4 linked regions of the Caenorhabditis elegans genome follow. The protein of the gene in region 3 interacts with the protein of the main gene of each other region in a pairwise test. Each region holds a gene or a part of one and is shown on either strand. Other genes may lie near its edges.

The links.
Region 1: the proteins of B0507.1 (region 3) and alfa-1 interact in a two-hybrid assay, tested with the Caenorhabditis elegans proteins (one large-scale study listed by BioGRID).
Region 2: the proteins of B0507.1 (region 3) and sydn-1 interact in a two-hybrid assay, tested with the Caenorhabditis elegans proteins (one large-scale study listed by BioGRID).
Region 4: the proteins of B0507.1 (region 3) and atp-3 interact in a two-hybrid assay, tested with the Caenorhabditis elegans proteins (one large-scale study listed by BioGRID).

What each region holds. Positions count from the first base shown.
Region 1 is NC_003280.10:7,657,786-7,664,256, forward strand, and holds alfa-1 (ALS/FTD Associated gene homolog), read right to left. Parts: upstream 4,504-6,471; 5' UTR 4,481-4,503; coding exon 4,436-4,480; exon of another isoform or gene 4,327-4,435; coding exon of another isoform or gene 4,291-4,326; intron 4,230-4,290; coding exon 3,966-4,229; intron 3,922-3,965; coding exon 3,438-3,921; intron 3,390-3,437; coding exon 3,092-3,389; intron 2,730-3,091; coding exon 2,498-2,729; intron 2,452-2,497; coding exon 2,341-2,451; intron 2,296-2,340; coding exon 2,053-2,295; intron 2,005-2,052; coding exon 1,802-2,004; intron 1,025-1,801; coding exon 700-1,024; 3' UTR 543-699; downstream 1-542. Other genes in the region: F18A1.7 (Chondroitin proteoglycan 4 domain-containing protein), read right to left, coding at 5,024-5,135, 5,186-5,453, 5,502-5,804, 5,852-5,969.
Region 2 is NC_003279.8:2,376,559-2,383,537, reverse strand, and holds sydn-1 (Synaptic defective enhancer 1), read left to right. Parts: upstream 1-1,686; coding exon 1,687-2,525; intron 2,526-3,832; coding exon 3,833-3,979; intron 3,980-4,030; coding exon 4,031-4,145; intron 4,146-5,761; coding exon 5,762-5,903; intron 5,904-5,955; coding exon 5,956-6,449; downstream 6,450-6,979. UniProt on the Caenorhabditis elegans protein: Acts as a negative regulator of nuclear pre-mRNA 3'-end processing (mRNA polyadenylation). Plays a role in tissue-specific expression of protein isoforms by regulating differential processing of pre-mRNA 3'-end (alternative polyadenylation).
Region 3 is NC_003283.11:8,774,829-8,779,865, reverse strand, and holds B0507.1 (EB domain-containing protein), read right to left. Parts: upstream 3,297-5,037; 5' UTR 3,282-3,296; exon of another isoform or gene 3,236-3,281; intron 3,222-3,235; 5' UTR 3,207-3,221; coding exon 3,030-3,206; intron 2,967-3,029; coding exon 2,747-2,966; intron 2,593-2,746; coding exon 2,107-2,592; intron 2,023-2,106; coding exon 1,598-2,022; intron 1,547-1,597; coding exon 1,183-1,546; intron 884-1,182; coding exon 708-883; 3' UTR 548-707; downstream 1-547. Other genes in the region: B0507.2 (BRO1 domain-containing protein BROX homolog), read right to left, coding at 3,505-3,594, 4,059-5,007.
Region 4 is NC_003279.8:5,428,242-5,431,703, reverse strand, and holds atp-3 (Oligomycin sensitivity conferral protein), read left to right. Parts: upstream 1-1,884; 5' UTR 1,885-1,897; coding exon 1,898-1,957; intron 1,958-2,080; coding exon 2,081-2,393; intron 2,394-2,437; coding exon 2,438-2,535; intron 2,536-2,711; coding exon 2,712-2,927; downstream 2,928-3,462. Other genes in the region: F27C1.2 (Copper transport protein), read right to left, coding at 549-661, 712-943, 999-1,126, 1,193-1,421, 1,469-1,537; utp-14 (Small-subunit processome), read left to right, coding at 3,264-3,415.

The sequences.
Region 1 (6,471 bases), on a different chromosome or scaffold from region 3:
GTTCAGACATGAAAAGAGGAGGATAACTAATTATAGAATAAGAAAATGATGATACATTGACACCAACATATATGAAATGAGAAAAAAGTAAAAGAAAACACAAAATATTGATGAATTACCGAGTTTTCTTAGAGAATTCGAATTTTCAAAGAAATGTTGAATATAAATTAATGGGTACCTTTTCCTTATTTTAAATGAGGGGTTGGTGGCATTTTCTATGAAATATTTTACGTCAATCAACACTTGACAGATCAGTTGAAAAAATATTTGTAAATTCATTTTTCTTTTTGGAATCTGAATTGTAATTTTATTTTGAGGGGAAAAAAGGAAGGTTGCTCTTCTCGTCGTCATTATGATTTTCTCATATTCAAGCAGAAGCAGCAACAACAAGCACAGATTGGAACACAAGTTTTGAATAATATTATTCGTTGAAGAGAGAAGGAGCACATATTTATAGATGAGAGGTTCATATTGCAAGATTTGAAAAATAAACTTGATTCATCATATTTTTCTTTCAACTGTTTGCCAGAATAAAAACAAAAGATTATAAAGTTTTTATTCATCACACGTGGAAAATGGTAGGCAATTCAATAAAAGTGTAACAAAAAATTGGGGAATGCAACTAAATTCATCAGAAACTGAAGGCAAAAAAAAAGAGTATCTCGTATTTAATATCCATGACTGGTTTGGACTTTGGCTCTACATGTAAATAAATTCGGATATGTCAGGCTGAAGTATTTCGGCTCTCGCTAGAACCGCGTTGAACAGAGCATCGTTGGTCAGATCCAGGGATTTTCGGCATTCAGTTAAACTGAACGATTTGGATCGTGTTCCGCACTCTTTTTCGTCATTTCCGGGGCGACTAGCATCACGGACAAAAGCAATGAATGCAGCGGCAAGATTATCGAAATAGAGCATTATTTGAGTACAGAATCCAGAACGAACTGATTCTTCCATTGGAAGTAAATCCATTTGCTTTAGGAATGTATTCACTGATTCAAGAGTTCGGCAAGGTGACAGTTCTCTGGAATAATCAAAATTTTTTCTGGAGAATAAATTACCTAAATGTTTTATAAAAAATATAATGAATCTTCAATAATTTTCGAATTTCTATTGTAATGTTTTTCTGCTATAAAAATCAATAAATTATATTTAATTTCCTATGAAAATTATATTTATCGTTGGTGTAAATTAACTTTTTGATTTTTAAAATTTGTCATTTTTAGTTGCGCAACTAAAAACTAGTTGCAAATAATTGCTCTTTTTTAGGTTTTTTTCTAGGTTTTTTTTAACTTAAAAAACAGTTTTCACGAAATAGATCAAGTGAAAAAATCACTAAATGTTCAAATTCTCAAAATATATTTGATTGAATATTTTTATAAGTGATCGTTTTTATATAATCAACATACGAATGTTTTCTAGGAATTTGTTAAAAATTCAATTATTAACTATTACAGTACTTCCCAGATTTCGTTTTTTTGTCAACAATACGATACACGGTCTCGACACGACTATTTTTTGTTGAATGGAAAAAGTGTGAGCCTTGAAATAGTACTGTAAATTCAAACTTTTATTGCTGCGAAGTTTTCATAGATGTTTCATAGTTTTTCTATTTATCAAAAATGAGGTATTATTATTGTTATATTTGAGTTTTTTTAAATGTAAATAGAATTTTATCAAAAAATTTTAAAAATCTGATTTTGAAAATTCTGCAGTATTAAAAAGTTTCAAATTACAGTAAATTTTAAATCCGCGCACCTTGATCTTTTTTTTTCTTTTTCTCAAAAAAAAACAAACTTACATCTGTGGAATTTTTGTGTTCTTCGAAACCATCACGCCTGCATGTTCAAGAATCAACCGTACCCCTCGAGAATCATTTCGTGCTCGTAAAATTCGATGTTTTTGATATGAAGCTGACATACACACTGCTGACCGATCAATGTCGATGATACAAATAGGCCAAGGGCTTGATGTTCCGCTCATTATAACTGAAGGGAGTTCTGCCTGAAATAATGTTTTTTTAAAATAAAATAATTTGATGGTTTCACATACCCTTCGTACACCTTGTAATTTTAAATATGGATTATACTTGTGTCGGTAAGCTCTTAGACAACACCATTGATGTGCTTCAGGAACAAAAAATGCAAGAGTATAGAGGAGTCTGGCAACCAAAACATGATCCGATCCAATAATTACAGTATGACCCTGACTTTGCAAGCATCCGGAAATCGCTTTTGCGAGAAGTCGATTTTCGGAAATTGAAATTCCTCTATCCGTGAATAGTGTGTTCTTTATCTGAAAACGAATTACATTTTTTTGTGGTAGTTGAGTAAATCTTACCATTAAAGGTCGTTCCAGAGAAACAAGAGGAAATCTTTCGAGTGCAGAAAGAAGTGACAAGAGGCGAGAAAGTTCAGAAGTCACTCGAACCAGTACATCATCAGAATCTTCCTAAAATTTGATGCATTGTCGAAAGACTATAATTTACTATTCTAACCGAAAATAATGAGGCTTTCATTTTTGGAACAGAATCGCCAACCATTCTCTCAAACCATGAATGTCGATCCAAATACCATTCTTGTTTAAGATGTGACATAAGGAATGATATGGCATATGTAATAGTTGATCCTGATTTTGTTTGAACTGAGAAAATAAACGCCGCAACTAATAAGTGACGTGAGGGTGAAACAATCATCTTGTGTTGTAGAGGACATCGGGAATGTGGGGCACTGAAATCATAATAATTACTAAACTTTTTTTGTAGAATACTGCAATATTTGCGCCAAAAATACGGTAGTCGGTCTCGACACGAAAATTGTGTCAAAAGCGAAAAAAAGGTGTGCGCCTTTAAATATTTAAATTTTTTCTCACGATTTTTAAACGTTTCCCTTCTTATTGTTTCACTTAAGTTTTTCAATTAAAATGTATTTTTATAGAAAAATCTATGAAAAATTCGCAGCAGCATGAGTTATTACAGTACATTTTTAAAGGAGCATAAGTTTTCGTATTTAACAAAAATATAGTGTCGAGACCGAACACCGTATTTTTGTTGCTAAAATGGCAATATTTTGTGCCTGGTTAATAAGCTTACTTGCAAATAAGCTCAGCCAATACACATTTGGCAACAAAAGCTTCATCTGTTACATATGATTCTCCAAAATCAATCTGATCATCGAAGAAATCGAAAATATCTCTCGGTGGTGGAGTTTTTGTATGACCTCTTTCCTCTCGAAATTCAAAAACATTTGAATTGGGAGTCGATGTCATCATTCCAAATGCATCTTCATACTTTTTGATGTGATTCTTACAAGGAGGGCTTTGACACAAAGCAGATAAATCACTATGAGTTGACACACCAACTCCAGAATCAACACAAGATCGACGGAGTTCTGAAATTATAAACAACATTGAGATTATCAAAGAAATCTGAAACTCACCATCATCATTATTAATAGGCGACAGTCTGTCAAGTTCATAATGTTCGGTAAGATGTGCCACGCACGCAACGTTCGGAGCTGGCGTCGAGGTGGATGCAATTTTATCTCGAAGATACTCTGCGAGTTCTCTATCTTCTTCATTTGGATATTTACTTGCAAGCAGCTTCCCAAGATGGCCAGTATCATTTGGAGAGGGAGAAGCAAGTGTAAAGCTGGTTCCCAATCGTTCATCTTCCAAGAATTTACCTTCACAACAATGATCCAGTCCTTCATCTCTTAATGATTTTCCACTGCTTTCAGGACTTTCCATAATACGAGAATCATCCATTGTCAATGTTTTTGTACTTGTTGTAGCAGATTCAGTCATATATTCATCCAAATACTTGAGTGTTTTGTATTTATAGTCTCCAGCATTCATTAAATCGAAATCAGCAAATGAATCGACTAAATTGGCATCCAAACCATCGAGAATTGTTAATTCTGTCTGCAAAAATTAAAAATTTGATAGCTTTATCTGAATAAACTCACTTTTAATGGATCATCGATTTCTTCAAAAGACACCGATTGATTAGATCCTGAAGAATCCATTAAACTTTCAGCATCTGCAATTGATCCATCCTCTCCAGAAAGATTTACTGGTGAAATTGAAGTCGAAGGTGTCACATCCCAGACGAATTTCAGCTCCGGGCCAGTCATAAAGTCGAATTGCGACCAAACAATCTTCATTATTCCGCAGTTTTCACTCGTTTTGAGTGGCAGCAGTCTTCGTACAGCGTGATCTTTCTTTTGTTGCTGAAAAATTCATATTTCGAAACGTTCAATTATTTTATCTAATTATATATGTATAATCTACCTTGAATTTCAGTCTTTTAACAGCGGCAGAGTGCATTTTGGAAAATTTATAGTTTCTATTCTATTGGAAATGTTCATATTATTCGCCACAATATATAAATGATAAGATGCCAATGTGATAAGAACACAAAGGAAATGATACTCACGTCTTTAAGCGCATCGTATGTGGTAAAATATTCATCCGCTTCCATATGATAAATTTATACACAAAATTCTGCAATTTATGTCGTTTTCTTAGAGAAAGTGTAAATCGATTGTGAAATAGTAGCTTTTTGAAGGGAAAACTTGAAATAAATGAAGGGAAAGAACAAGGCAAACTGCTGTATTTACACAGGCAACAAACGAAAGAATTTTCCTGTAGGTTAACAACTGTCTCTACGTCTCCGTCTCCACGATCCTTACACTCTCATTAACTTAATGCGTTCACAATGGAAGAGCGATGGAAGGGAATAGATTGACTCATCAAAATGCGATTATTGATCGATGAATTGAACTTGTCAGCTGTTTTGTCGACCACGCGGCCGAAATTCAGATATTTCGGCCATTTCAGCTTCGATAGTTGTACAAAATGTCACGAGAATTTTTTTCGGCTTTCATCCGCGTTTGAGAAAATGATTATTGAAAGCGGTTTACAGTTTACAACTATTTATTCGATATATCAACATATTTGTGTCGGGTGATTATTTACAATTCGTGGGTTTTAGTGAGTACTGGAATCATGAAATGAGATGCGATCAAATGTTATCCATGTTAAAAGCCTTGAAATCGCCGTTGCGAATGCGGTTGAGACGAGTTGGGTTAATTGCAAAACGGCATCTTTTATCGATTTTCTTACTGATGACATCCCTGAAATGTTTAGTTACATAGCATATTTAATAATGATCGCACTAACTAACCTCAATGCTGGTGACAATTGATCAACCATTACAGAAACGGCATCGAATGGTTGCATAAGCATGTCCAGACTAAGCCATCCACTCAAGGCACACTTGCTGTTGAGTCGCTTGGTGACACATGGGAGAGTACATTGCAGAGAGTTACAAAGTTCTCCAAGATGATCAGCAACAATAAATACATTACCTCCAACTGTAGCAGCGAATTTAATGTTAGAATCTTGAGCGAAAGCAGTTAGGTTTGAACGAGCATAGCATTCTTTGTCGCAGCCTGAAAACGATTTTTTGATGGTGGGCAATTTTTCAGAAAAAAAATTACCTGACATGATATCATCAACGACAGGGTTGAGACACGACTCCATTCGCTCAAACAGAACGTGCTTTGTGGCACACATATATTCAACACTGCTGCTGGCTTTTGCGAAGAGCTTGTTGTGATCACAGTACTGTTCTTTCTTCAGACAAGTGATAGCCTGTGCATGATGACCACAGACTTTGCGAGCTTGATGTACAACATTCTTCATGTTCCACAGAGACGTCGTAGAATTGATGAACGGGTCGATGCACTTTCGCATGCAATATGGAACTCCAAGAGCGCGGAAAATTGTGTCGACGTCGAGGGCTGAAGTGAAACTTTAATCTTAAGCACACAATAATCTAGTTTTTTACCTTGTTCTTCGTGTGGCACGACATCTTTGTCGTCGTGTACCGATTCGATGGCACCATTTACACACGAGAAGAACAGAAAGATGGCGGGAAGGAAGAAGGCGAGATGGAGATGGCGCATCTGGAATTATGTAGAAGTTTTTTTTCCGAAATGGGGGTTAGATATTAAGCAGTTTGAAAGTGGTCTAAAAGCTTTCGAAAACTTTTATAAGCTTTCAAGAAGGTCATATAAGGAAAAGAACAGCTAGGTAGAAATGAAGTGGGTAACTGATATAGCCGAAACTTTACATAATTTATAAAATGAAAATTTATCAAAACTGACAAATGAAAATAAAACAAAATCCGAATTCTTTATGCGACTTTTCTGATTTCAAAATTTAGCGCGTCAATAGAAAAGTTAGATCGGCGGGAAAAAACAATTTCCAAACTACGGTTTTGATGGAGGTCTCGAAGCGAATACCGTACCCGGCAAGATTTACGCAGGTGGTCCGAGCCATTCATTTTTTTCTTTTTCAAATGTGAATTGCTTTGTTGAGAACCTGCAGAAAATCTTCATGTTTGGACGAAGTATTGACTTTTAGAATGTTTTTGTTCAGTATTTTAACCCTCTTCCAATATTGCGC
Region 2 (6,979 bases), on a different chromosome or scaffold from region 3:
TTGCAAATTTAACCAACATTTTTTTTTGAATTTTAAATTAAAAAAAAAATTTTTTTTAATGTTAAAAATTTTTCAAAAAATTTTTTTATTCAGGAGCGCCTTCTTCATCGCCCATCCGCCCGTCCAGAACAAAATAATTATCAAAAATAATGTTTTTTTCCCGATCGCTTTTTTTTCAATTCTAGCCCACCCACCCACGCATTTTTTGCAATTTTTTAAATACTTCCTACCCGAACAACCGTGCCTTTATCTCTGAAAATCTCCTCACTTTATATGTTTTGATTTTTCTCGAAAAATTCTTTCAATTCAATTCTGACGTGGTGTCAGAGTGTCTCATTTCGGCTTGATCTACGTTGATCTACAAAAAAAAGTGCGGGGAAATGGAGGCAGAGTTCTCAACTCATTTTGCAACAAAAAAAATTCCCGCATTTTTTGTAGATCAAACCGTAATGGGACAGCCTCTGGCACCACGTGTATTCTATTCTATGATCTTTTGAGCTATTCACACCAATTTACACATACAATTTTCGAATTTTGCATCTGAACTCCCTTACCTCATTGAATATAAAAATTATTTAACTTTTTTTTTTGGAAAATTTTTGTTTTTTTTTTCGGTTTTTTATCCGAATTTCTACTATTTTGGGTTTTAAAAATTTTAGTTTAAAGGTACAGTCAAACTTTTTTTTTCTTCAAATTTGGGCGGCAATTGCCGTTCGGCAAATCGCGGAAATTGCCGGTTTGCCGGAAATTTTCAATTTCGGTAATTTGCCGATTCGCCGGAATAATTCAATTCCGGCAATTTGACTATTTGCCGGAAATTTTCATTTTCGGCAAATTGCCGATTTGCCGGAGATGCTCAATTCTGGCAGTTTGCCGATTTGCCGGAAATTTAAATTCTGGTAGTTTGCCTATTTGCCGGAAATTTTCAATTTCGGCAAATTGTTGATTTGCCGGAAATTTCAATTTTCGATAATTTGCCGATTTGCCGGAAATGTTCAATTCCGGCAATTTGACTATTTGCCGGAAATTTTTAATTTCGGCAATTTCTCGATTTGCCGGAAATTTCAATTTTCGATAATTTGCCGATTTGCCGGTAATTTTTCTTTGTCGGCAACTTCTCGATTTGCCGGAAATGTTCAATTTTGGCAATTTGCCGAAAATGTTCAATTCTGGCAATTTGCCGATTATGCCGGAATTTTCAATTTCTGCAGTTTGCCGATTTGCCGGAGATGCTCAATTCTGGCAATTTGCCGGAAATTTCAATTCCGGCAAATGGCCGGTTTGTCGACTTGCCGATTTGCCGGAAATTCATTTTCTTTATTTTCGGGCTAAATTCTTCGGTTTATTTTGTTAACTTTTTCTTCTGTTATTTATAAAAAAATTTAAAAAAAATTTCCGCCAAATTGCCGGAATTGACCCTTTCTGGCAAATCGGCAAATCGCCAGAATTGAAAATTTTCTGGCAAGTCGACAAATTGCCGGAATTAAAAATTTCCGGCAAATTGTGCTTTTTCACATTTTTGATTTTTCAAAAATTAAAAAAAATTTTTTAGTTTTTTTACAGTCATATTCGGTCATTAGAGTCTATTTTCTGCCAAAAAAAAAAAAACAGAAAAATTTTTTTAAAATAAATAAATAAAATTTTTTCGACTCTCCTCCACCTATTATAACTTAATCTCATTCAGAAATGGGAGAACCTTCACCTAGTCGGCGTCGATCAATCACCTCAGGAATACCATGCCCGTCACCAACGAAACAAGTCCTACCGCCACCGCCACCAGAAGAATTGCACAATATTCTACGAAAACGGCCACGGAGCAGCGCCATTCCGACGACGAGCCAGACTCATGTGAGAGCTCCACGTAAGGAGACGGATGTTGTCGATCGGATTTGGCACGATATTGACGAGGAGCAACGAGAAAAGCTGGCTCGGCGGAAGGAAGAAGCCGCCAAGAGAAAAGAGCAACAGCCGGCTCAACACATCAGGGACTATTTGCCATTGACTGCGACAAATTTGAGGAATTTCCGGAATGAAGACTCGACGATCAGTGATTTTATACATCGGCAGGGGATGGTTGACAAGCTGCTCGGCTACAAAATGCTGCTGGGAAAAATGGAGAACTGCGGGACGCTGGGCTACGAGAAAATGAGCGAAGACGAGGTTCAGCAGCTCTCCAGGGAATGGCTCAAAAACTTTTTCCCTTCAGAGCAAGCCCACGTCGGCCCACGTACCCCACCGAGCCCCGCCGTCGATTCTGATGGTGGTAGTTATCCGAAACGGCCTCGTCGAGGCCCGAAAACTCCTCCCGGATCTCCTGGGCCTTCGATGGATCAGGCGGCCGTGAATCGACGGGAGCTCATCGAGCAACTTGCGAGAAATTTTGGAATTAGTTCGTATAAAGTGGAGGAGACACTTGGCACTGGGTTGGACAAGGCGCTTGAGGATTGCTCGAAAAAGTTGAAGAATGAGCTGATGGAGACGTTTAAGGATCAGCTGTTGAGCCAGATTGATCGGAAAACTAAAATGTATGAGAGTTGGAATATCAATGAATTAGAGAATCCTATGTGAAAAAAATGTCAAAAATCGATAATTTCCATGAAAAATCGATAATTTCTATCAAAAATCGATAATTTTTATTTCTGAAAAACTCGATTTTTGATATAAATTATCGATTTTTGATTAAAATTATCGATTTTTGATAGAAAATATCAAAAATCGATAATTTCCATGAAAAATCGATAATTTCTATCAAAAATCGATAATTTTTATTTCTGAAAAACTCGATTTTTGATATAAATTATCGATTTTTGATTAAAATTATCGATTTTTGATAGAAAATATCAAAAATCGATAATTTCCATGAAAAATCGATAAATTTCATCAAAAATCGATAATTTGAATTTTAAAAATATCGATTTTTGGTATAAAATATCGATTTTTGATTAAAATTATCGATTTTTGATAGGAATTAACAAAAATCGATAATTTCTATCTTCACCGAAAAATCAATATTTTATCGATTTTTATAAATTTTTTGCAATAAAAAAAATCTATATTTTATCGATTTTTATAAATTTTTTGCAATAAAAAAATCAATATTTTATCGATTTTTATAAATTTTTTCATTAAAAATTAATATTTTATCCTTTTTTTCAACAAAAAACTAATAATTTATAAATAGATTTTTCCAGAATAAAAATCGATTTTTAATCATTTTTTCTTTAAAAAAATCAATATTTTACCGATTTTTAATCTTTTTTTCAGAAAAATCAATATTTTATCCTCTTTTTTGTTCAACAAAAAAACTAATAATTTATAAATAGATTTTTCCAGAATAAAAATCGATTTTTAATCATTTTTTCTTTAAAAAAAATCAATATTTTTCCGATTTTTAATCTTTTTTTCAGAAAAATCAATATTTTATCCTCTTTTTTGTTCAACAAAAAAAAAATAATTTTCAGATTTTTCGAGGAAAAAAATCGATTTTTCTGAATTGTTTTTTGCGATTTTTCAACAAAAAAAAACAATGTTTTCTAGATTTTTTAAACAAAAAATATCGATTTTTAACAATTTTTTCAATTTAATGAACATTAATCAACATTGGTAACAAAATCAATATTTTATCGATTAAAAAAATTGATTTTTTATCAATTTTTTAAGAAAAAAAATAAATGTGTTATCGATTTTTTTTTCAAAAAATTAACACCACTGTCGATTTTTCTGAATTTCTTTTTTGCAATTTTTCGGGATCCCAGGGAATCGAAAAATCGAAAAATTTGTTCGATGAAACCCTCATTTAAGATATTCTTTTTAAAAAGATATTAATTTTCAGTCGGGACGATTTATCGGATCAAATGGAGCTGGTCTCGGATTGCTCACTATCACCAGATTTGATAAAAAAGGAAGAACCAGACGTTGTGTATCATATGGCAGTACCACCACCACCTATACCTCCACCAATTCAGCCACCTCCTTATTCGTAAATTTTTTCCAGAAAAATTATTTTTTATTAAAAAAAAAGTTTTTTCAGTTACTACCCAGTAGCTCCAGCTGCTGCTCCACAAGTCTACCATTATGCTCCACCACCGCCACCACCGCCCCCGCATCCCCAGCAGGGGTTATATCAGCAGAATATGATGGCCTATGTAGGTGTTTTGTGGAAGCCTGGAGGCCCGGTTTTTGGAAAAAAATTGGTTTTTTTTTCAGAAAAAATTTAAAAAAAAACAAAACATTTTGATTTTTTTCCCCGAAAAAAAAAATTCAAAAAAAAGTTTCAAAACACAAACAAAAAATTCTGAAAAAAAAAAAGACGAAAAATTTAGATTTTTCCAGTAAAAATTTAAAAAACCCCCTAAAATTTTAGATTTAAAAAAAATTAAAAAACGAAAAATTTCGATTTTTTAAAAGAATAAAATCTAAAAACGAATAATTAAAAAATTTAAAAAAAAACGATTTTTTCAGTAAAAAAAATATAAAAATGACTAAAATCAAAAAACGGAAAATTAGAATTTTTCAGAGAAAAAAAACGGATTTTTTCAGTAAAAAGATAAAAAAAGTGATACATTTTTGATTTGATAGAAAAAAATATCGAAAAACAAATTTGTTTCATTTTTTCAGAAATTGTCAAAAAACGACAAATTTTTGGTTTTTTCATTTAAAACTATTCAAAAAAAGTAACATTTTTGATTTATTTTTAAAAAAATCGAAAAACAAATTTTTCATTTTTTTTCCAGAAAAATCAAAAAACCAATTTTTAGAAAAATAGATCAAAAAACAAAGGTTTTTTTTGGTTTTTTCAAAAAAAAATTTTTTTTTTAAATCAAAAAACGAAAAATTCGAATTTTCAGAGAAAAAACGGCATTTTTCAGTAAAGAGATAAAAAAGTGATACATTTTTGATTTATCTAAAAAAAAAATCGAAAAACGAAAATTTTCGATTTTTTCAGAAAAATATTAAAAAAACGGAATTTTTTTAGTGAAAAGCTTTTTTTTTCCGAAAAATCACTTTTTTTTGAGAAAAAATACCGGAAAACGGAAAATCGAAAAACTAAAAATTTCGATTTCTCAGCAAAAAAAAACTCGATTTTTTTTGAAAGATTCCCCAAAATTTTGGTCATTTTTCTTATTTTTAGACGTTATTTGTTTTGTTATAAAGTTATTTGTTTTCTTTCAATTCTGAGAATGCGTACTGCACAACATATTTGACGCGCAACATATTAAAATATCTCGTGGCGAAAACTACAGTAATCCCTTGAATGACTACTGTAGTGTCGATTTACGGGATCTCGATTTTCGAAAATTTTAATATTCTATCGACAAATAAATTGTATTAATTCTTTTTGAAAAACGAGCCCGTAAATCGACCTACAGTAGTCATTTAATGGGTTACTGTAGTTTTCGCTACGAGATATTTTGCGCGTCAAATATGTTGTGCAATACGCATTCTCAGAATTTAATAGTCCCGTTATAAAAATTTGAATTTTTTTTCGATTTTCTTCAATTTTTCGGTTTTCCGAAGTCAAAGTGTCTCATTTTGGTTTGATCTACCTAGATCTTCAAAAAATGCGGGAGAAGAGACGCAGACTTTTCAACTGATTTCGCATGGTTAAAAACGTGCTGACGTCACATTTTCATGGGAGAAAATTCCCGCATTTTTTGTAGATCAAACAGCAATGAGACAGCCTGACGCCACGTGTGATCCTTGATCTGATCCTTGAAATCCTGGGATTCATCAATCAATTTAAGTCTACTTTCTCTTTCAGCCCCCACCTATGCAACATTTCAATGCTCCACCGCCCCCAATGGCTCCGTATCAGCACCAGGCTCCTCCATCAATCGTCCTTCCACCGGTGAACGTTCCACCTCCACCGATTGGCGTCCGAATTGATACTCCAATTCCTACTGGCAAGACATTCCGATGAGTCGGATCCCCAAATAAGAAGAATCATTATTTCAGCAGTGCTGCCGATTCCAACGATGGTTCCACCACCTCCACTGCCACCACCACAAGCTCCATTCTCTGGAGATTGCTGGCGAGCACAGCCAGCGGCTCCGGTTCCGGCCTCCGTGCCAGTCAGTTCGGCACCACCACCATCAGTGGTTGTTAATGTACAAAGTACTCTATTCTCTGCTCTCGGGCTTCATCACAAGCCTCCACCTCCTCCTCCTCCACCTCCTCCTCCGACAACTTCTTCTACTACTACATCTCACATTCCACCACCACCTCCTCCTCCGCTTCCGTTCTCTTCGGCTCCGCCACCACCGCCACCGCTTCCGATGGTCGCTGCTGGTCCGTCTCCGCCGAGCTTTGTTCCTCCTCCTCCGCCTCCGAATCCGAATCAGAATCCGTCTATCGTTTTGTCACCATCGGCGGTAACCGGAGGCGGCGGCTACCGGCATCGTGTCAATCAGTTTCCGCCGCAGCAGCAGCAGTCGTTCTCGAACTTTTGAATCCTTTCACGTGGTGTCAGAATGTCTCATTTTGGCTTGATCTACGTTGATCTACAAAAAATGCGGGAGAAGAGACGCAGAGTTCTCCACAGAGCGGCTTTTACTACGTGGCCTAGAAAAATCGAAAACTCGGCCAATGATTTATCTGGGATTTTTGACGTGGGATGTTTTTGAAACTTGACGAGAATACTCTCGAAAGGGGGTTCTATAGTTCCACCGTGGCGATTTTTGAGAAAATGTTCCGTATCGATGTTATGAAGGTGGCCGAGTTTTCTTATTTTACGGCCACGTAGTAAAAACCGCTCTGTGTCTCAACTGATTTCGCATGGTTAAGAACGTGCTGACGTCACATATTTTTGGACGGAAAATTCCCGCATTTTTTGTAGATCAAACCATGATGGGACAGCCTCCGGCACCACGTGTCCTTTCTCATTTGCCTCTCTGTGAAAAATCTGTGAATCTTGAACATATTTGAAATATCGATTTTTTTCTCTTCATTTCCTTGATTTTCTATTTGAAATTAAAGTTTG
Region 3 (5,037 bases):
ATGGCCTTCTTCTTCCATCTCGACGACCACCAAAACGATGACTTCATTCCCCCTATTTCCATCTCCTCACCACTAAATGACGAGTGTGTAGTTGAGAAGGCGAAAAAGAGCTCCAGAATTCGAAAAGCCCTCCTCTCCTCCGCTTCTTTTTTTTTCGTTTTCGTCCCGTCTTCCAACAAGCCATCTTCGTCTTCTTCTTCTCTAATTTATTCACTCTCGGCCACAGGGGGTTCCGAGAAGATGTCACCACCGACAACATCAGAAAAATATTTTTAAGGGTCATGTCACGAATTGGTCCGTTTATTAGAAGCACTGCTTTTCAGGTTTCTTCAGAAGAATTCATGATAAAGACAGAGGACATTTTGGCCTTCCCCTTGGCCATTCATCCACTATTCATCCCTGATTACTCATTCATCCGTATTTTCCAAGTGTGTCCGCTCTCCTTTTCAGCTTCCTCTCTCCAGAATCCTCTCCAGTCGCTATGACGACGATGAGGAAGAGCAACAGGATACAAGAAGCAAATGTGGAGGATGGCACACGACGAGAAGAGAGTCATGTAAGGATTTATTAAAGAGGTGGTGGTGTTGGTGGCTACTGGTGAAAAGAGGAAAAAGAAAAGGGAAGCACGTCCAAAATGTACAAACAAGAAGAGTTGGAAAACGAGGGGTGAACAATATAGAGAAGGGATTTTACAAAGCGAATGTAGTTTACAGATTCATTGTTGTTGAATTCAGGGCATCCCGCATGGCAGACATTGTCACATCATCATAAGTGCAACAGATTTTGGCTTTGCCATTTTTGGTTCGGTGACAGATTTGGTTTATTCCACGACAATTGTCATCTGTGCATTGCTCTCCGGTCTCAACATAATCCTTTGGACATCCTGAAGTAATAATTCAATAAAAATGAAGATCTCTAAAAATTTAGACATTGGTAGAACAATTTATGGATTTACAGAAAAATCCCAAAAATATGTCATTAGTTTTCTGCTTTCTATGATTATAGTTTGTAATTTGATAAGGGTGTTGTGGCAGCAGAATTATAAAATAACTCTAATTATTGTTTGCACTTTTGCAAAGCTAGTTAATCTTGTGATAACTGAAACAGATATTCATATACTGATTTCAAGAAGGAATGCATTGAACAATTTTTCAAAATAAAATTTCCTTGGAAGTCACTTACTGTTAGTTCCCTTGCAGCAAACATGGGTATTTGGATCACACATATGACCCATACTACAATCACTGGATCTCTCACAACGAATTAATTGCCCTGACTTGTCTACTGATGGTTCTCCTCTTAGGCCAATTGAGCACATAATTCTTTTGCACTGTCCGTCAGCATAACTGAAACCTGCTGGACACGAACAAATACTTCTGGCACATTCCATTTTTGCAACTTCAGCGTACTCTTCGGCGGCGTCGGGACTCTTTGAGTAGACGCATTGCGACGAAATGTGACAGCTGTCTCCATAGTACGCCATTGAAAAGCACTGGCCTTCGTGGTAGATGTCTTCGAGTGAAACACAAGGCTTTGGACAGCAAATCTGAAATTTTAGATATTCTTTCAAAGGGGTTTGAGATTTTGAAAACCATACAGATTTCTCGGTGGCTACAGAATCCCTATGACAGTAATAATCTACGGGACATTTGTTACATCCATAGTCTGGAGGATATGACGATTCATGTGGTTCTCCCACAGGGCATGTTGGGCGAATTTCGGATGGAGACGGACAACAAAATCCCTTATAATAACCGGGTTTACTTGCATCATCGAACACAGGAACACAATAATGCTCATCTGGACAATCATCTCTTTCATTTCCAAAATCCAAAAGAGTTCCATTTTGAATTCCTTTCATTAGACGTTCAAATTCGGCATCGTTAATATCACTTCCATTTTCTGACTTTTTCAGGCTTCTGAAACTGGTGGAGACACTCGAAAGAAGAGAGTTTTTGAGAGAGCATGTGATAAGCTTTTCATCTCGTTTTAGGGGAGCTGCTTTGTTGACACATCGGTACTCTGCAATTTTCTGAGATGAACTAGTTTCAATGAAGTTTGATTGATATCTAATTGATAAAAACATTTGTGCTGAAAAAAACTCACCAAGGGGTTCACAACCTCCATCACCATTTCTCTTGAAACCTCTCTTACATCTACATCCTCCTGAAGAGCATTCTGAAAATGCAGCAGAGCATTCCATATCAGTCTTACACTTTTCTTTCAGACGTCTTCTAACTCTTTGACAAGTTTTTCCATCGGAAGCAAGTGTGTATCCAAAGTCTGTGGCACACTCACACATACAATTTCCACGGGCTCCACAGATACAAGCTGCTCCACCAGAACATCCAGATTGTGGAGAGCACACTTGTCCTCGCCACGGACGTTCATTTTCAATGATTGCTGGTGCACGGGTAACGACGACTGGGGGCTCAACATCTACACCTGGGACGCAGCAGAATCCAGTTGTAGTCTCACAGAAACCATTCTCAGGGCATGGCATTACTCTTCCTTGTTTGAATTGGCACATAATAGGTTTGCCAGTTATGAAGTTAACCATGGTTTTCTTAGTTTTTGGACAGGTTGGTAGTTCTGAAGAATGTAAATTTTACCGGTTAATTTGATAATGAGGATCCTCATTTAATTTTTCAAAATGAATAACCATGTCCTGAAATATTTACGTTTTATTGAAAACGTGGTCCCTTTTTTTTCCAACGAGAATTTTATAATCAATACGATTTCTTACTTGTACAACAAACTCCATGCACTGGATTACAGATGTGAGTTGATGGGCAGTCTTCAGTCAAATCGCAGATTGTCAGAGTTCCAGTAGGAGAGAGGACAAGTGCACCTCCTCCTGGACAAAAATCTTCCGATGTTCCTCCCAATGCCGATTTCGGGACAAGTGACTTGAAGCATCCGGATTTCTGTCGTCCGTTAACATTGCCAGGGCGACACTCTTCACCCTAGAATACGTTTAAATGAATCTCCGCGCATTTTAATACTTAGAAGTTAAAAAAAAACGATACCTCGTCACATTGTAAATCATTGGAACACGAATCTTTCCTACAAGCGCCTTCTTGACAGAAGAATCCTCTACCACATTGCATTGAATGAGTACATCCTCTTCCAGACGCTGTTCTAGCGCTGACAACTCCAATGAGAAATAACAAAATTGACAGGATGACTAGCCGACGGGATCGCATTGCTACTGACTGAAACTAAAATCTCCAGCTATATCCGATCTGCCCCAAAGGACCGCCCTTTGAATGTTGGCACACCTGTTGGTTGATTCAGCCGCATGCTCAACTGACCGTTATATTTGGTCACTGTCTTCAATCGTGTCAACAACATGTACATTTTTATGTATATCATCCAGCATCAATGAGAACGCGTGCAGCTAAAATTGGAAACATTGCATACAAATGGGCATGGTTGTAAGGGGAAATGGAAATGTTTAAAAATAAAATAGTGAAGAACAGTAATGTACAAAGACTCGAATTATTAGGCAATCACACATCCACTGGAATTGCTGGGATCCTTTTCTGTTTGGTAGATTTTCTCCTCGTGAACTGGATCAAGCTTTGACTTGCTCTGAAATTAGTGATTACAACAGTTTAAATGCTTTATTCTTTTTAATAAATGCATTTTTTAAGTCGAATGTTTTAAGGAAGAAATTTAAAGGAGTTTTAGTATGACAAATTCGAATGTTTCCTAGATTTTTTGGAAATGAAAAATGAAAAAAAATTTCCTTGTAAATGTGTTAACATTTGATAAATCCGTATACTGTTCAAATTATCTGTTGTTTTTTTTAGATCAAACTAACGGAAATTGCATGTTTTCGCTTTTTTTGAACGGATTTTATTGTCAAAATTGTATTTTTGGTAAACGCTCAATTTTTGAATTTGCTGTTTTTGAATTTATATCCAATTTTTACTTTAGAAGGCAAGAACGGAAATAAAAATTGAGCGTTTCAAATTGAAACACGTTTTTCCAGAACTCAAAATATTTGTTATGTAATTAGTTTAATTTAGTTTTTAAAAAATCGACGCGCCTACCTTTTTAATTTTTGAAAAATCTGGCATATTTGCTTTGGACAAATCAAAAGCGGAATAAACTGCCGTATTCCATGATTCCGCTGGTGGAGGATAGGTAAACGAATCAAGTTTAGCCAATCCATATGTTGCTTCTACATCCAATTGAGGAATCTCATCTGGAACTTTTTGATGATAGATGAATCCATTTTCTCGCTCCGCTTTTTCCAAATGTCGATTGAGCAATGGCTCGATTCTTCTGAAGAACAAGTGTTGCTCAGGCTTGATACGAGTTCCAGGACCAGTTGCAGTTGCATACATTGCTGCCATTTCTTTAGCAACTCCATACTCAGCAATTCCTTGCTTACAAGCTCTCACAGCTTCTCCACATTTATCCTCTGATAGTTGTTTCTGTCCGAGGAAGGCAAAAGCATACGCCAAATAGAAATGATGCTTCAATTGCAGATATCTTCTCCATCTCGCAAAACTCTCATCAGGCAAATTATTCAGGCATTGATCAGCTTTTGAGAATATCGATGCAGTTACAGCAGCAAGCGATGAGATTAATCCATCATCATGTTTCATTTCAATAGCTCTAGCTACAATGACCTCTTGTGCTTCTGCTGTGGCAGTCAAAATATACGTTTCCATAACTTTCGGATCAAAATCTGAGCCTTCAACTTCATTGGCACCGGAAAGTCGTGATGATTCATCTTTCACATATTGGAACATTCCACCTGCTTGTCTCAAACACTGAAGACATTCCTTTGCATCAGATTCTCGTACCTCATCCTTTCCAGCCATCGACGCAGCATGCTTTGTGAGCCACATTGCCATACATTGAATCATACTGAGAGCTTCAAACCAAGTATCCGAAACTTCTGTGGCGGCTTGTGGAAGCATTGAGTTACCCCATTTGAAGCGGATCAGTGGAATTAGTTTGCTGTTTTTGTTGCCTGCGTCCTTGTTTTCCCTGATAAAGAGCGTACTTTAAATAATGTTT
Region 4 (3,462 bases), on a different chromosome or scaffold from region 3:
AAATTGCACGTTTTGAGATTTCAAAAATGATTACGATTTATTTTTCGAAATTCGAAATTTTATAACAAAACTTCAATATCAAATATAGCTTTTCAATCGCGACAAGACCTGATTCCGCTTCTTCAAACTATTTAGATGATCTTTTGTAAGGCTTATCACGTTGTTATTTAATACTTCCGATTGACTATTTGCATAACTTCTCACGAGGTGCAGTATCTTATCAGCTACAAGATTCAATCTTATGATAGAACAATAACAGGACAAATGTTCATTATCATTTACAACTTCAATAGGGCAAATAGAAATTCAATAATAAATAAATAAAATCAGAAAATTGACAGCTTGCTCTGAATTAGACACTTCTTCTGACTGAGATTCTGGTGATAAAAAGAGGCGGGATCCTAAGGTGCTCATCGACCCGCAGGAGAGAAACTAAGGTCGATTAGTGAGGAAATACATTTTAAAAGATAAATCAACTAATAAAGAGGAAAGATGAATTGATGATGTTTGGTGATTTGTTTGAGGATTGAGATTGGAGATCGCAATTATTAATGACACGCATCGGTTTGGAACGAATCCGTCACTTCTCCATCACAATTTCGGAGTTGGAGAACTGCAAACAGCCAATGTCCAAATCCTGCTCCTAATACCACCGCAGCAGCTGAAAAAATACACAGAATTATTGATTTAAAACTAGAAATTTGTACTTACTTAGATAAGTGTTGTAAGTCATCACAATGAGCATGAGCCAATAGGCGAGCACCAATTGAAAAATGTACAAGAGCATCTGAATGAGCCGTTGAGGAGAGAATGGCGAAGTTGCAGGGGTCCTCGCTACCGAAGCCGATATCAGGAACGGTTCAGATTGAGGCTTGTTGCTCTGTGAGTGGGTAACCGATTGATGGCAAGTGCCTCCAGAAGACCGCGTTGTCTGAAGTGCAAACTAGGTCGGATAAGATATTTTTTAATGAAACATAGAGAAATATAAAATTACTTACCTCCACGCATGATTTGTTGGCAAGAACCTGAGCTTGTGTTTGCGTCATTTGCAGAAATACACGGAACCACTTGACACCTTCATATGTGGCGCCCATAATGAAAATAGCAGCACACGATAAAAGCATACCTGAAGAGTTGTTAAAATTAACTAACAGTTAAGAAATAAACTTGAATTGAATAATGAAAATCTTACCGAAAAGTGAATCCGTCCTCCAAAAATCGAATAGAATAACTTCTTCAAATCCTCCATGGAACCACATTTTCATCATATGTCCCTCGTGTCCACCATGACCTGCGTGTGATCCATGAGACGAATGTTCATGATGTTCATTTTGATCTTTTTCATCGGGCACAGGAACCGCTTCTACTTCTTTTCCAGCGAGCTCATCGAGAAAGTTGTCTGCAGCTTGTGCGTAAGCACTCTGAAATGCTAAATGTTAGATTTTTGAAGCAACTATTAAAATTAAACCTTATTTTCTGCAGCAGCAACCACCAAAGCCACAGCCAACCATCCTAGGATGGCCAATTGTGTACCCATGATCTGAAAATATATGACGTAACATGAAAATCAATAAAAATTGCGTTTAATATGACTAGAAGTTATACAAGATAACAATTTCAACTGCAGCTTCAACATTTTGCGACCTTTTATACGCAACCTGTCATGAACATGCATTTTATCGAGATGGAAAGTTTGCAAACAAGAAAACTCCACAAAAAAAATTGTCTAAAAATTGCAGCACCAAATGCGCTCTACTGAACTGACAGCCGGTGATTTGGCTGCGTACCTTGGCTTATGGTTAAGAGAGTGATACTCAGCCAACGACCGCCCTTTTTCTCTTGAAATTAGCTTTCAGTTCTTTTTTATCGAATTTCAGTTAAGTTTTTGTACTATTTTATGCGAATTTTTATCCCAAGCAAGCCTCTTTACCTATATTTGACTATTCTTCACGAAAAAGTATGTAAAAATCCACTCTTTATTATTTTTTTCTTAATTAAATTTAAAAAGTTGTTTTAATTAATTCGTTTGCTTGCATACATTTATTAAATTTAAATTTTGCCTAATTTCTTAATTTTGCAGGTAATGGCGCAACTCATGAAACGCGGATTCTCCACGAGCGCTGCTCTCGCTAAGGCTCAGCTGGTGAAGACCCCGATTCAGGTTCATGGAGTCGAGGGACGTTACGCCGCCGCTCTTTACTCAGCCGGACACAAACAGAACAAGCTCGACCAGATTTCCACAGATCTGAACAATGTTCGCTCCGTGTACAAGGACAACAAGAAGTTCCAAGAGTTCGTCCTCGACCCAACTCTCAAGGCCAACAAGAAGAAGACCGCCATCGAGGCTATCTCAACTAAATTGGGGCTTACCAAAGAGACTGGAAACTTCCTTGGTATTTTGTTAACGTGTAATTACAAATTTAATTGTAACTTTCAGGACTTTTGGCTGAGAACGGACGTCTGAACAAGCTCGAGTCAGTTGTTTCTTCATTCGAATCCATCATGCGCGCTCACCGTGGAGAACTTTTCGTTCAGGTACTTTTATTATAACTGCCAAGAAAAACAATGTTTCTTTTGAAATTTGTTTTCGTAAAATTATAAAATATGAATAGCGAATGTTTTCAATACGTAGAAATGGAAATTTTCAAGTCTAAATTTTAATCCTGAAGATGCTCGTACGTACCGTTTTAAAAACTAAAAATCATTTTCAGGTCACCTCCGCCGAAGAATTGAGCTCATCAAACCAGAAGGCATTGTCTGATGCCCTTAGCAAGATCGGAAAGTCTGGACAAAAGCTCACGGTGACTTATGCCGTCAAGCCATCGATTCTTGGAGGACTTGTTGTCACTATCGGAGACAAGTACGTCGATCTGTCGATCGCTTCCCGTGTCAAGAAATACAAGGATGCCCTTGCCACCGCCATCTAAATTTTTCCCAAAAAATTTAGTTCCTCATCCCGATTTTCAATCTGTGCTTCAAACCAGTTCCCTGCCTCATCATACCCAATCATTGAAGATGGTGTTTTAAAGAGTTGTTTAGTAATCGGTTTTATGTATTGTCTTCATTTTCTAGTGGGTCATAACATCAGCAGTGTAATTGTTTGTTCCAGAATTTTAAGTTTCTTTATTGTACTCTCAACAAATAAATAAATAGATCTGTGAAAAATTTCAATTATATTGACCTCGTTCTGTCGGTTACCATTTACTTCTTAATAATGTTTTGAAAGAAAACAGAATAAAATTATAGAAATTTGAGAAACAGAAATGAGTGATGACTCGGATCTTGATGACGTTGCTCATCAGAAGCTTCTGCAATCAATTCACACACCTGGAACTGTAAAGAAAAATCGTCTGAAGAAAGCATCAAAAACAAAAACCGACGCAACTTCTCTTCTATCTCATCTTACAGTTTCAAGGTATTTGAAAAACAAATTTTTTTTTAAATTTAGGATTTTTGCAATTT